3 linked regions of the Canis lupus familiaris genome follow. The protein of the gene in region 1 interacts with the protein of each later gene in a pairwise test. Links are inferred from orthologs where the notes say so. Each region holds a gene or a part of one and is shown on either strand. Other genes may lie near its edges.

What was found.
Region 2: the proteins of TRIM42 (region 1) and KLHL38 interact in binary tests that used the Homo sapiens proteins (3 or more experiments, as listed by UniProt). The two-hybrid records come from large-scale screens. The link is inferred for Canis lupus familiaris from reciprocal best matches to the Homo sapiens genes TRIM42 and KLHL38.
Region 3: the proteins of TRIM42 (region 1) and EMD interact in binary tests that used the Homo sapiens proteins (3 or more experiments, as listed by UniProt). The two-hybrid records come from large-scale screens. The link is inferred for Canis lupus familiaris from reciprocal best matches to the Homo sapiens genes TRIM42 and EMD.

The regions. Positions count from the first base shown.
Region 1 is NC_049244.1:37,251,036-37,254,597, reverse strand, and holds part of TRIM42 (tripartite motif-containing protein 42), read right to left. Parts: coding exon 3,124-3,562; intron 91-3,123; coding exon 1-90.
Region 2 is NC_049234.1:22,348,967-22,353,056, reverse strand, and holds the start of KLHL38 (kelch-like protein 38), read left to right. Parts: upstream 1-1,253; 5' UTR 1,254-1,525; intron 1,526-1,897; 5' UTR 1,898-2,143; coding exon 2,144-3,532; intron 3,533-4,090.
Region 3 is NC_049260.1:123,237,286-123,241,357, forward strand, and holds EMD (emerin), read right to left. Parts: upstream 2,820-4,072; 5' UTR 2,731-2,819; coding exon 2,649-2,730; intron 2,562-2,648; coding exon 2,454-2,561; intron 2,292-2,453; coding exon 2,214-2,291; intron 1,987-2,213; coding exon 1,853-1,986; intron 1,420-1,852; coding exon 1,346-1,419; intron 1,269-1,345; coding exon 935-1,268; 3' UTR 538-934; downstream 1-537. Other genes in the region: collagen alpha-1(I) chain-like, read right to left, coding at 3,214-3,540, 3,603-3,962. UniProt on the Homo sapiens protein: Stabilizes and promotes the formation of a nuclear actin cortical network. Stimulates actin polymerization in vitro by binding and stabilizing the pointed end of growing filaments. Inhibits beta-catenin activity by preventing its accumulation in the nucleus.

The DNA of each region.
Region 1 (3,562 bases):
TGTCCGCACATTGTTAGGAGGGGTAGTAATGAGTTCATAAAATTCCATCTCAAAAGAGTCCACATCTTCTGTTGGGCATGTCCAATAAACCTATGAAGCAATGAACATGTGGCTGTGATACTAATATATACCATTCAGCTTTCTTTCCTATAAAGATTTGTGTCACTGTCAGTGGGGTGAGTTTAAGCTGACCCCAACTCTTCCAGCTGCTACGGACTTTGGCATAGACTATGTTCAACAGCCTTGAAAGGCTGCCTGATAAGGCCTAACATGTTGCTCGTGATGCATTTCAAGAACAAAAGAATGCCCCTCTGGGTTCTGTTACCATCACCCAAAATGACGGGACCACTGTTCTTACACAACTAAGCAAGGTAGATGCCATTTATTGAACATGTTCTATGCATCAGATTCTCTGTCAGACATTCCTTTACTCACCTAGTTTTTACAACTCCCTTAAAGGGAAATTTTATCATCCCATTTTACAGTTAAGGCTCAGGAAGGTTACATTTAGCAATTTCTAATAGAACCACAGACCAACCAAGATGAAAAGTGTATCTATTCCAACCCTCTCTTTTACACACAAGGAAGTAGAATACCAGAGAGGTGAAATGACTTACCCAAGTTATGGAGAATATATGTTCACACTCAAAACATAAAATTTCAACTTTTGGAAAGAGATATTTAACAAGTGTCAATTAGCAGCTTGTGCCTGGGATATAAATATTTTATACTGATTATATTTCTATGCAGTTACTGTGTTCTTAAAGTTTTAATAAATTCAAATGTTATTACATTTATATAATTAATTTTTTAATACTCATAAGAGCATACATTTTTGTGAATTTATATAATTTTTGGTTATTTTTATATATTTATACTTGTAAAACTTTTTATAAATTTATATAACTCATCAGTAAAAATTATTTTTTTTTCTGATTATCAAAACTAACATACTCATTGTAAAAGACCTGGAAAGTATAGAAAAAATATAAGGGGTGAAAATAAATATCACTTATAATCCCCAAATTCTGTTAATAATTAATTTCTTTCCAATTTTGGGACATACACAAATACAGAGATACACATAATTTGGATTATATTGCTTTGATTCTTCTTTTCTTTCACTTGTTATACTTTACATATTTCCCTATATTATGAAAAACTTAGTAAAGCACCACTTTAATAATTGTCCCATAAGTGATTTAATCTTTCATAGTTGAACATTTAGGTTGTTTCTAATTTTATAGTCTAATAAATAATGATGCAATGAAGACTTTTGGGGCATGAATCTTTATCTGAATTTTTAATCATTTCTCTGGGAAAGATTTCTAGAAATAAAATTGAATTTTTAGAAAAAACTCCTTAGGATTTTTAAGATACATATTGACAAGTTATAAGACTAACATTAAGGATTTTTCCTATGCCAAAAGCCTAAGAGGACTGTCAACCATCATTTGTGAGAGAAAGCAACATTAAGTTAATCTTTGGCATTACTGAGCACTATGTTTCCCATGTGAATTCCATCCCATCATCCTAATAGGGATCAATGATATCTTCACACCAAAAACCACTATTTGGTAGTAGGTTTAGGTGTTCTGTCTCTGTCTCTCTCTCTCTCTCTCTTTTTTTAGGTGTCCTCTTTTGACAATGTCTTGCTTGACTAGGTTTTCCTATGTAGGCCTGTTTCTTGGGCTCCTCCAGGGACCACTAGCCAGTGGCATGGAGTGACTGTTTTCCAAGCCCAAGTATGGAGCAGATATCACTAGTCCTTCCCTTCCAGAGCAAGAAACTGCCAACCTCCTAAGCAATCTAAGTTGCATGGAGAGACCTAAGGTCATAACTGAGCTAATGTCACATACACTTTAGGCTTTGCTGATCTAGTTTCATTGGGAGATGAAAGTTCAGCTGCTCAGTTGTGGGTATCTCTTACATGAAGGGCAGAGATACTTTGCTGTGTCTGATAGCCCATGGGAAGGTATATTCTACTTTGCAATGTAGGTCATTCTTGCTGGCAATTATAGACTCTAAAACACAGATTATGATGTCTCAGGAGAACAGCAAAGTAAAGCTTGGTCAGTGTCTGGCTTTCATTTTCTTGCTTTTAGACCCTTGATGTTAAAGTGTGGTGTGCAGACTGGCAGCAATGGCAACACCTGGAAGGTTGTTAGAAACATAAAATCTCAGGACCCCCTGAGGCCCACTGAAACAGAATCTGAATTTTAACAAGACTTCCAGGTGCACATTAATGTTTGAGAATCAATGGGTTAGAGTTCAAGGATGCTAAAAATCTTTGGGAGCGTTCTCAAAACAAAAGATGGGTGGCAAAAGATGGGTTTTGCCACACAAAAGCAGGCCAAGGGCTGGTCTGGAAGATGTCCGTGTAGGGAACCCTAAGAGAGGCAAGGTAGCTCTAATAGAATATCTAATTGCAAGTTATTCTGTTTCCCTCCCTGAACCTTCATAACACATTCTATAAACAGTTCAATGTAGATTCAGCTGGATTTGAAAGGAATATCAAGGGAAGGGTCATTTGTCCATGTTAAGCCAAGAGGGTCAGGGAGGAGTTGTGTCCCCTGAAGTCAGATGATAGAAGCTATAGAGGTCTGTGAGAGATCCACGTCCCCCAAAATTTGAATCTCAGTAGGTTAGAATTGGAATTCCACTGGGGATTATCCTTCCATTCTTTCCAAATCATCGAGAGTATGGACACTTTCTTTAGGAAAGGTAGCAATTTAGAGGAATCACAGCCTATATTTCTAACTTGAATTTCTGTGTTCTCTCTACTCTTATAGGTTTTCCCCTGGGAAATATTACACCCTCCAATCAGTCTCTTCATATTACTTTGGTTCCCAATTGGATTGCCCTTGAATGGGGTTGGGGCTTTCAGGATGTATTTTTGTCTATGAGTTAAATATGTTGTTTGGTTTAAGCCAATCTTGGGGTACTTAAGATTTTAGGAACTTATCCCTTTTGAATGGGCTGACCCTGAGGAATGCAAAGGAGCAGACTTGAGTGACTAGACCCTAGAGGTCAAAGAGGTAAGTGCAACCTTTTCTGACTACCCACTTCCATTTTGTACCCCACATCCTCCCACCTTCCCCACAGGCCCAGAGCCTTTCTTACCTTGGCGGCTCTAGGATACACCAGAGTCTGGTAGATAACAATTGGGCCTGGGGTCTTCACAGAACCATCATTGAATGAGTACCAGTTGTGGAAGCTGTTGCTGTTCTGCACAGACTGGTTTTCTGCCCCTGCGCTCCAGTATGTATAGAGGCCATCTGTGGGTTTGGCAGGTGAGGCAGATTGGGCTCGCCCATAGGCTTCCAGACCCATCTTGGCCTTCTCACCACCCGTGGCATTGAAGGACAACAAGGAGGAGCTTCGCTGGTATATCTGTTGGTTGTCGAAGCTGTGAGTGCTGAAAGTAACCTTCCTGGCCATCATCATTTCTGAGTGCATGGGATAGTGGGAGGGCAAGGAGTCCCCTGAGGAGCATACCTTCTTGGGTCCTGTGGGGAAGAGCTCATGGATGGCACTGCTGAGCTCAGCAAAGTCCAGGGGC
Region 2 (4,090 bases), on another chromosome or scaffold:
GTGTGTGTCTGTCATGAATAAATAAATAAAATCTTTAAAAAAAAATTCTGTTTTGCCTTCCTTGGGGTTACTCTGCTGATTCCTCAGGGTGGTTGTACTGGAGGGAGAGAGACAGGGAGCAAGTGAAAAAATTGAGCAAGACGTGAGAAGGAGAACAAACCAGGCTTCCCTGCCACTCGCTGCTGGTGCACTCAATCAGCACCTCATGGGGGGCAGAGGCAGGACGGAGCTGGGCTCCCTTTTAATCGCCCTTGTGTTTCTACATGCAGCCATCGTGGCCCTGATTCTTACACTTGGGGGCCGCCTCCTCCTCTCTTTCCTTCTTCTTCTCCCTCACTCCCTCTCTTCCCTTCTCACCCCGTCCTTCCTCCTCCACCTCTTCCTTCCTCCCCTCTCTCTGACACACCATGGAGAGAGATGTCTTGCCTCCTGCCTCCTGCCTCTGGCTCAAGACTCCCTGATGGAAGAAAATGGAAAAGTAAAACAGAAAAACCAGGCTGAACCATTGAAAAAAAAAAAAAAAAAAAACTGAAGAGGGATGGCTGGGTGGCTCTGTCAGTTAAGCGGTTGCCTTCAGCTCAGGCCAGGATCCCAGGGCCCTGGGATGGAGCCTGCTTCTCCCTCTCCTCCTGCCCCTCCCCACTGCCTACTCCCCTGTTTGTTCTCTCTTTCTCTCTCTCAAATAAATAAGTAAAATCTTAATTAAAAAAAAAAACCAACTGAAGAACAATCAGCATGTCTCTGTGAGAGGCAGCTATGACCTAAAAGAGTACAATCCTTGCCACTCTAAAACAGAAGCCCCTGGTGTCAGGGGGACCAACAAATGCTTGATCTTTCCTGCGTCTAGAAACTCTGGGGTGCTCCACAAATATTAAAAACAACTTTTGTCAGAGACTCCATCACCTCGGAGCCCGCAGGTGGGAATCACAGCCCTCTCCAATGACCCTGTCGGCAGACAGTACCCTTGGGCCCATGTACTGGCTTCCCTAAGACCGTGCATCACCTTCAACTTGCCCAGGACTATCTTCAGTGACTGTCCCAGGTCACAGCAACCTGTTTACAAACATCTAGAATTCCCAGGCACTTTTAGGACAAGGGACTCGAGATGTGTCCAAGTGGGCAGTGAAGTCTGCTCTAAGAGAAGCTGTTCCTCAGGATCTATTTATGCCCATGTAAACACTTGCCAAGGAAACAAGGCATGTGGGCATGCGCTGGCCCCGCGGGTCCTTGGGTGGCTGCAAAAGGCAACTGGACAGTCACATGTCATCACAGTGGAAAGTACATATGCAACTATTCTTAGCTCTGGAATGTATACACTGTCTCCCTGCCCAGTGCTTCTTTCCCGAAGTTCTAGAAAACTGCGAAAGCACCGTTAGCATAAACAAATCCAGAACTCTCCCAGGACAAATCATTTGCCAACTGAAGGAAAGGCCTGGGTTTATGGTTTCACTTGGAGCAGAGGTGGAAGCTCTCCGGAGGGACCAGCCGGACCAGGCATCGGTGGATGTCACTGCAGCAAACCAAGGTAAAAACCTCTAACGGTTAATTCTCCTGCAGGTAGACAACCAGGTGTCACCCAGGAAACCCTGCCCAGAGTACCGTTTGCTCTCTGCTTTCTATTTATCACATCTTTAAACAAAACCCCAAAGCCTCTATGAAGCCACGTTTTAAAAATTAAATTGCAGAGGCCCATTCTCATCCTTTAGTACCATCTAGTTACCAGAGGGCCACATCCCCAGAACGACATCCTCGGGGAATGACTAACACCCGGAGGAGGCTCACAGACTTGGGCTGCTCAGATGCACGGACGGTCCCCTTGCTTCAAGCTAACATTTCAGCCCCTGACAATCAGGTAACTTCCAAAATGTTGGTGGTTCTTTTTGTTTTTTCCCCTCAGATGATCTGAAGATGCTATTTGCCTATTACCTTTGGGAGTAATCACAACTGGGAACAAAAAACAAAACAAAGCAAAACAAAACAAAAAACAACAAAAAAAGAGGTGTCGGCTGTGAGGTCTGGGGTGTAGGTGGCTGCTCTTTCCAGTCTTCACTAAGCAACATTCTGGGTGAAATCCATAAGCATCTTGGTGGGTGGACATAGATGCACTAAGGCTGAGAGACAGCGCAGGCCAACCCTTCGGCACATGCTACCCCTTGGGACCTCCGCCCCCCCTGGCAGGATGGACGAGGAGTTGCCAGATGGGCTGCTCTTCAAAGACCATGACTTCTCCTCTGAATTGTTGAGGCAGCTCAATGGCTTCAGGCAAAACAGGATGCTGACCGATGTGAGCATCTGTACGGGGACCCAGGAGGTCCCGTGCCACCGAAGCGTCCTGGCTTCCAGCAGCCCCTACTTCAGAGCCATGTTCTGTAGCAACTTCCGGGAGAGACGTGAGGCCAAGGTCCAGCTGAAAGGCATCGAGGCCGGGACCCTGGAGCAGATCGTCTCGTATGTGTACACCGGGCAGGTGCGCATCACCGCGGACAACGTCCTGCCGTTGATGGAGGCAGCCTCCATGCTGCAGTACCCCAAGCTGCTGGAGGCCTGCTCCTCCTACCTCCAGAGCCAGCTGACCCCCAGCAACTGCCTGGGCATGATCAGACTCTCTGAAATCTTAAGTTGTGAGACCCTCAAGAAGAAAGCCCGGGAGGTGGCCCTGACGCGTTTCCCAGAGGTGGCCACGTCGGCCGACCTGAAGGAGCTCTGCGCCCTGGAACTGAGAGACTACCTGGGGGACGATGGGCTCTGTGGGGAGGAGGAAAAGGTGTTCGAGGCCCTCATGGTTTGGGTCAAGCATGACCTCCAGGCCCGGAAACGACACGTGCAGGAGCTGTTCGAGCAGGTCAGGCTTCAGTACATCCACCCGGCCTTCTTCCACCACTTCATCGCCAACGAGGCCCTCCTACAGTCCTCGCCCTCGTGCCGGACCATCCTGGAGACAGCCAAGAGGCAGATGTTTGCCTCATATGTCACCACCAGTGCCCCAGACCTCCAGCCTCCATGGCATGTCCCCCCAAGAACCTCTTATCAAGATTTCCTCATCCTCTTGGGCGGAAGGAAGGACAACCAAGAGACCACCAGGGATGTTCTGCTGTACAACAGACAGACCAACCAGTGGGAGAACCTTGCCAAACTCCCAACCCGGCTGTACAAGGCCTCAGCTGTCACCTTGCACCGCAGCATCTACGTGCTAGGAGGCATGGCTGTCGGTGCAGGGAAGAATGTGCCCAGCCACAACGTCTACATTTACTCCCTGAAGCTCAATCAGTGGAGGCTGGGGCAGCCCATGCTGGTGGCCCGCTACTCCCACAGAAGCACTGCCCATAAGAACTTCATCTTCTCCATCGGGGGGATTGGGGAAGGGCAGGAGGTCATGGGCTCCATGGAGAGATACAACAGCATCTTCAACATCTGGGAAAGTATGGCCAGCATGCCGGTGGGGGTCCTCCACCCTGCAGTCGCTGTGAAAGACCAAAGACTCTACCTTTTTGGGGGAGAGGACATCATGCAAAATCCTGTACGCCTTATCCAGGTAAATGGCTGGTCCTTCCCATCACGTAAGTGCATGAGGGTACACTCAGGCATACACACGTGTGTGTGCACACACATACACACTTATACCTGTACACACATAAATACACACATGCATACACACGTGTGTACATACATGCATACATCTATACATGCATGCATGAGTGCATATAATACACACTGTTGTTTGCAGGGAAAGCATAAAGGAGGGAGGAAAGGAAGGATGGAAGGAAGGGAGGAGAGAAGAAAGTTTGAATTCAGCAAGATTTTATCCGTTTATGAGCTCTTGTTGTGTAAGATTAATACACAATTAATCCTTTGTAAGAATACAAAGGAACGTCAGATACGATCCCTGTCCACGAAGAGTTGATTTGCTGAAGAAACTAGTGTATCTGAAAGTTAAAAAAAAAAAAAAAAAAGTTTAAGTTAGAACACATTGAGTGTCAGAGAGTGAAGTTTATAGGAATTTTGAAGATGTTTCTAACTCAAATCAGCAAAGCCTTAGAAGAAGATTCCCAAACATTGGACCAAATCCCTGGGAACCCGATCTCAGATCAGC
Region 3 (4,072 bases), on another chromosome or scaffold:
AATAAATGAATAAGTAAATAATACGTGTGTACTTTGCAGGTGGAGGTGCTCGCCTCCCGCACAGAAAACCTGGAGATAAGCAAGAACATAGGCAGGTGAGGGGTGGGATTTACACAGGGGTGATGCGGCATCCTGTGGGCCTCTCCCCCCCCCCGGACAAGCGGCCGCCCGGGAGGAGCCCGCCACTCGCCGCATTTCCTCCCTGTCCACCTGCCCTTGGGTACTGAGGCCGGCTGTCGGCTCCTCCCTGTCGGAACATCTGTAGCCAGTGCTGTGCACGCACCCTCACCTGCATTTATGGGGGAGCTCTCTGCATCCCGTGGGGGCACGCTTCTTTGCCTAGTTACAGCAGCTTTGGGTCACGAGTCAGGGAGCAAACCCTACCAGTAAAGCACAAACGTGCCCGTGGGTAGCATGCGATCCCTACCCCAACCCCAAAGCAAGAAGGGAGAGCGAACAAAGCCAGATGTTGCTCGTGGAGACCCAAGGCCTGGAGGCTCCCAGCCCAAGTCCTTCCCAGCAAAGAGAGCCCACACGTTAAAAATAAATGGTCTTTTTATTGTGTCCACGAAAACAAAGTCAGGGTGGCCTGGGTTAATCCCCCCCGACGAGGTGACAACAGACAGGAGGCATGCAATGACAACAACCATGTTCTCCTCTCCAGGAGAAGGGTCTTACCCTCCTGGGCCCTGGATCAGAGGCAAGCAGGACCAGGAGACTCCAGAGGAAGGCCTGCCCGGGCCCGCCATGCCGCGGAGGGCCTGGGCTTGCCACCTCCTGGGCAGAACGAGGCAGGGGAGCAAGCACTGCCCTGGGCCAAGCCCAGCACACCGAAGCTAGAACACACAGAAAAGCCCCCACCCCCTCCCCCAGCAGACACTACTAAGGCAGTCAGCCAGGACTTCCGGGAACAGCTGGCCACGAAGCCAGCCCCTCAGGGCTCCGTCCAGAAGGGATTGCCATCCTCAGCCTGCATGGAGTAGTAAACAAAGAGCAGGAAGGCAGCAAAGACCAGGAACAGGAGCAGCTGGCCCCAGAGTGGGACCTGGCGGTCCTGGCCCAGACCAGCCCCAGGGGCCTGCTTTTCTGGCCGGATAGCACGACGGGTGAGCCACGAAGTGGGGGAAGATGAAGATGAGGATATGGGAGAGGTGGAAGAGGGTGTGGGATAATAGGACAGGCCCAGGGAGCTTCTGGAGATGTTGGAAACAGGGCGGTAGTGCACGATGTTCTGGTAGGCGCTGTCCCGGCCATACCCGGAGCGTTCCCTGAGGCAGAGGACAGCAGGTGAGCCAGGGGGCCTGCGCCCAGAACCACCCGCTGCCTGGCCCTTCCTGCCACTCACCTGTCCTTGCTGTCCTCTTCAGAAGAGAAGAGACTGTCATCGCGCACCTGCAGGTAACAGTCAGGGAGAGGGGAACTGGCCAGCAGAGTCAGCAGCCTGTAGCCTGTCCCGTCCTCACTGCAAACTAGCCTAGCTGAAACACCCGGACCCTGTTCCCTCCAAAACCCTCCTGAGTTACCAGCCTTAGCCCGGTAGGGCTTTGTCACCCGCTCCACAACTCGACAGGTATCCTGGCCGCCTGCACCTTACTTTCTGCCCCGGGGGGTCTGAGAAAGATCTCAAACCTAGATCCCAGGTCAGGGTGCACGGCGTCCCAGGTGCCCTAGTGTTAGGTCTGACACTCCCCCAAGGACGGCCCTGCCAAGGGAGGTGTGCACTTACCTTGCCTCTCGGGAAGCACAGGGCCTACCGCGTGCGCCCCCCCCCCCCCCCCCCCCCGTCCAGGTTTTGTCCAAGCCCAGCTATGACCCCCACAGGTTGTATGCAGGTGCTCGGCAGCCAACTCACCTGGTGGTGAAAGGTGTCCGAATCTGCGAGTGAAGCTGATGGCTGGCGGAAGCCCTTGGAGGAGCCCACAGGCTCAGGGTCCCCGTAGGTCCTGGTGCTCAGGTAGCTCTCCTCGTAGTAGTCATCGCCGTAGCCTTGGGAAGGGGGGGAGAGCGGTAGCAAGGTGCACAGTGGCTGCGCCCACCTGGCCCTAATCTCAGTCCCACGTGGGAGCCTGTGGCACCGTCTCTCCCCTCTGGGGCTGCTGAGGATGACGGGCTTGAGATCCCAGGTCCCCCCAACACCAGGCTCCCTGAGGGAGGGGGTAAGGGTGACAGGGTGCCCCCCCCAGGGTGCCCCCCCCCCGCCCGCCCAGCCTTACCCTTGCTCTGGTAAAGCAAGGCGTCTTCTTTCTTGGGCAGATCGTACATATCCGAGTCCACGGATGCCGAATCTAAGTCTGAGGGGGGGGGGGCGGGACCATTTGCCCCCGGCTCCCCTCCCTTCTTCCTGTGCCCCTCCCAGCCACCGCCCCTGCCACACCCTCCGGACCCCGTGCCCCCCGTCGCCCAAACCCCGTCCCCCTGGGAGGCCAGGTGGAGATCCGGGGCGGGGGCCTCACCCGAGAACCGATAGGAGAAATTGAAGGCGGACGAGTTGGGGGGCGACAGCCTCCGCCTCTGGGTCTCGTACTCGAAGATCTTCTTTTCGTAGAGCTTGCGAGTGGAACCTGGCCAGACACGGGACGCGGGGCGTCAGGGCCGCGGGCCGGACCCCGGGGGGGGGGCGGGGAGGGGGCGCGCTCGCCGCCGCGTACCCACGACAGGCCCGTGCGGGATGTTGTACTGGCGCAGCACGGCGGCCAGCTCGGCGTCCGACAGGACCGCGTAGTCGTCCATGGCGGGCGGCGGGGACCCGGGGGCCCGGGCCTGGCGGGCGGCGGGCGGCGGGGAGCTGGGGGGGCCCGGGCCTGGCGACGCGGGCCCAGCTACCGCTGCCTCCGAGCACGGCGGGGGCGGCGCGAGCGTCTCGGGAGCGGCAGCGCTCGCGTCACGCCTGCGTCACGCTCGCGTCACGGCCGCGGGCTCTGCGGACTGCGCGCGGGGCGGGGCGGGGCCGGGCCGGCGGCGCCGGCGCGGAGCGGGGGACCGTGGGAGCGGGCGGGGCGGGCGTCATGACGTCAGACGTCGCAAGCGGGCGGGATAGGCTGGCGGCGGCGGCGGGGCGGGGCCGCGCTCCGGAGGGGCGGGGCCCGCCGGCCGAGGGGCGTCACGCGCTGGCGCGCAGGGGCGGGGCTCGAGCGAGGAGTCGGGCTTGCGGGGGCGGGGACGAGCGTGGGCTCGCCGCGACGTGGGGGCGGGGCGGGGCGGGCGGTCGAGGCGTCACCGGCTGGCGTGTCGGGGTCGGGAGGGCGGGGGTGGGGACCTACGCAAGTCGAACCGGCAGAAACCGGCCAGGACAGGAAAGCGGCGCAGGACTGACGCGCTGGGCGCGGCTCGCGCTCCCTGAGTCACGCGGGCTCCGACGGTCCCCGCAGCCCCCTGCCCCCTCCGCACCCCGCGCTCCCCGGCCGCCCCGGGCCGGCCGCGCCTCCGCCGCAGCGCGAAGGGACCCCGATCCCGAGAGCGGGCCCTCGGGGCCGCGGGGCCCAGGCCCGGGCAGCAGCCGCCTCGGCCCCCGGTGCCACCCCGCCCCGCTCCGCTCTCCACCTGCGCCCGTCGTCCCGCAGGTCCCCAGCGCCTCCCACCCTCCCTCCCTCCCTCCCTCCCACTGCGCCCGGGAGGAAATGGGGCACTGGGCCAGGAGGCCGCGGGCACCCCAGGAGCGGGCATCCTTGCAAGGCACTGGGCGTGCCCGTGGGCGCTGGCAGGGGGCCGAGCCCGGCGTGCGGGCGGCGGCCAGCGTGCGCCCGACCCCCGCGCCAGCCACCTGGGGCGTCGGGGCTTTCCTCTGCTGTCCAGGGCGTCCCCGTGGCAGCCTGGGGGGGCGGGGAGCCTTCAAGCCCCCGACGACCTGCTGGGCCGGCTCTGCGCGCTTGGGCCTGGGTGGGCCCCGGGGTGAGCCGAGCACAGGGGGCCCCGGCGTACTCGCGGGTGAGCGCGCGAGGTTGCAAGGCCGTGGAGAGCCTGCACTGTCATTAGGAATTCGTGAAGGCCTTGGTCGCAAAGAGCTGTTCTGGGGGGATTGGAAAGGTGGTGACAATCATATTCTAAATGAAGCCAACTCAGGGAATGTGGGTAC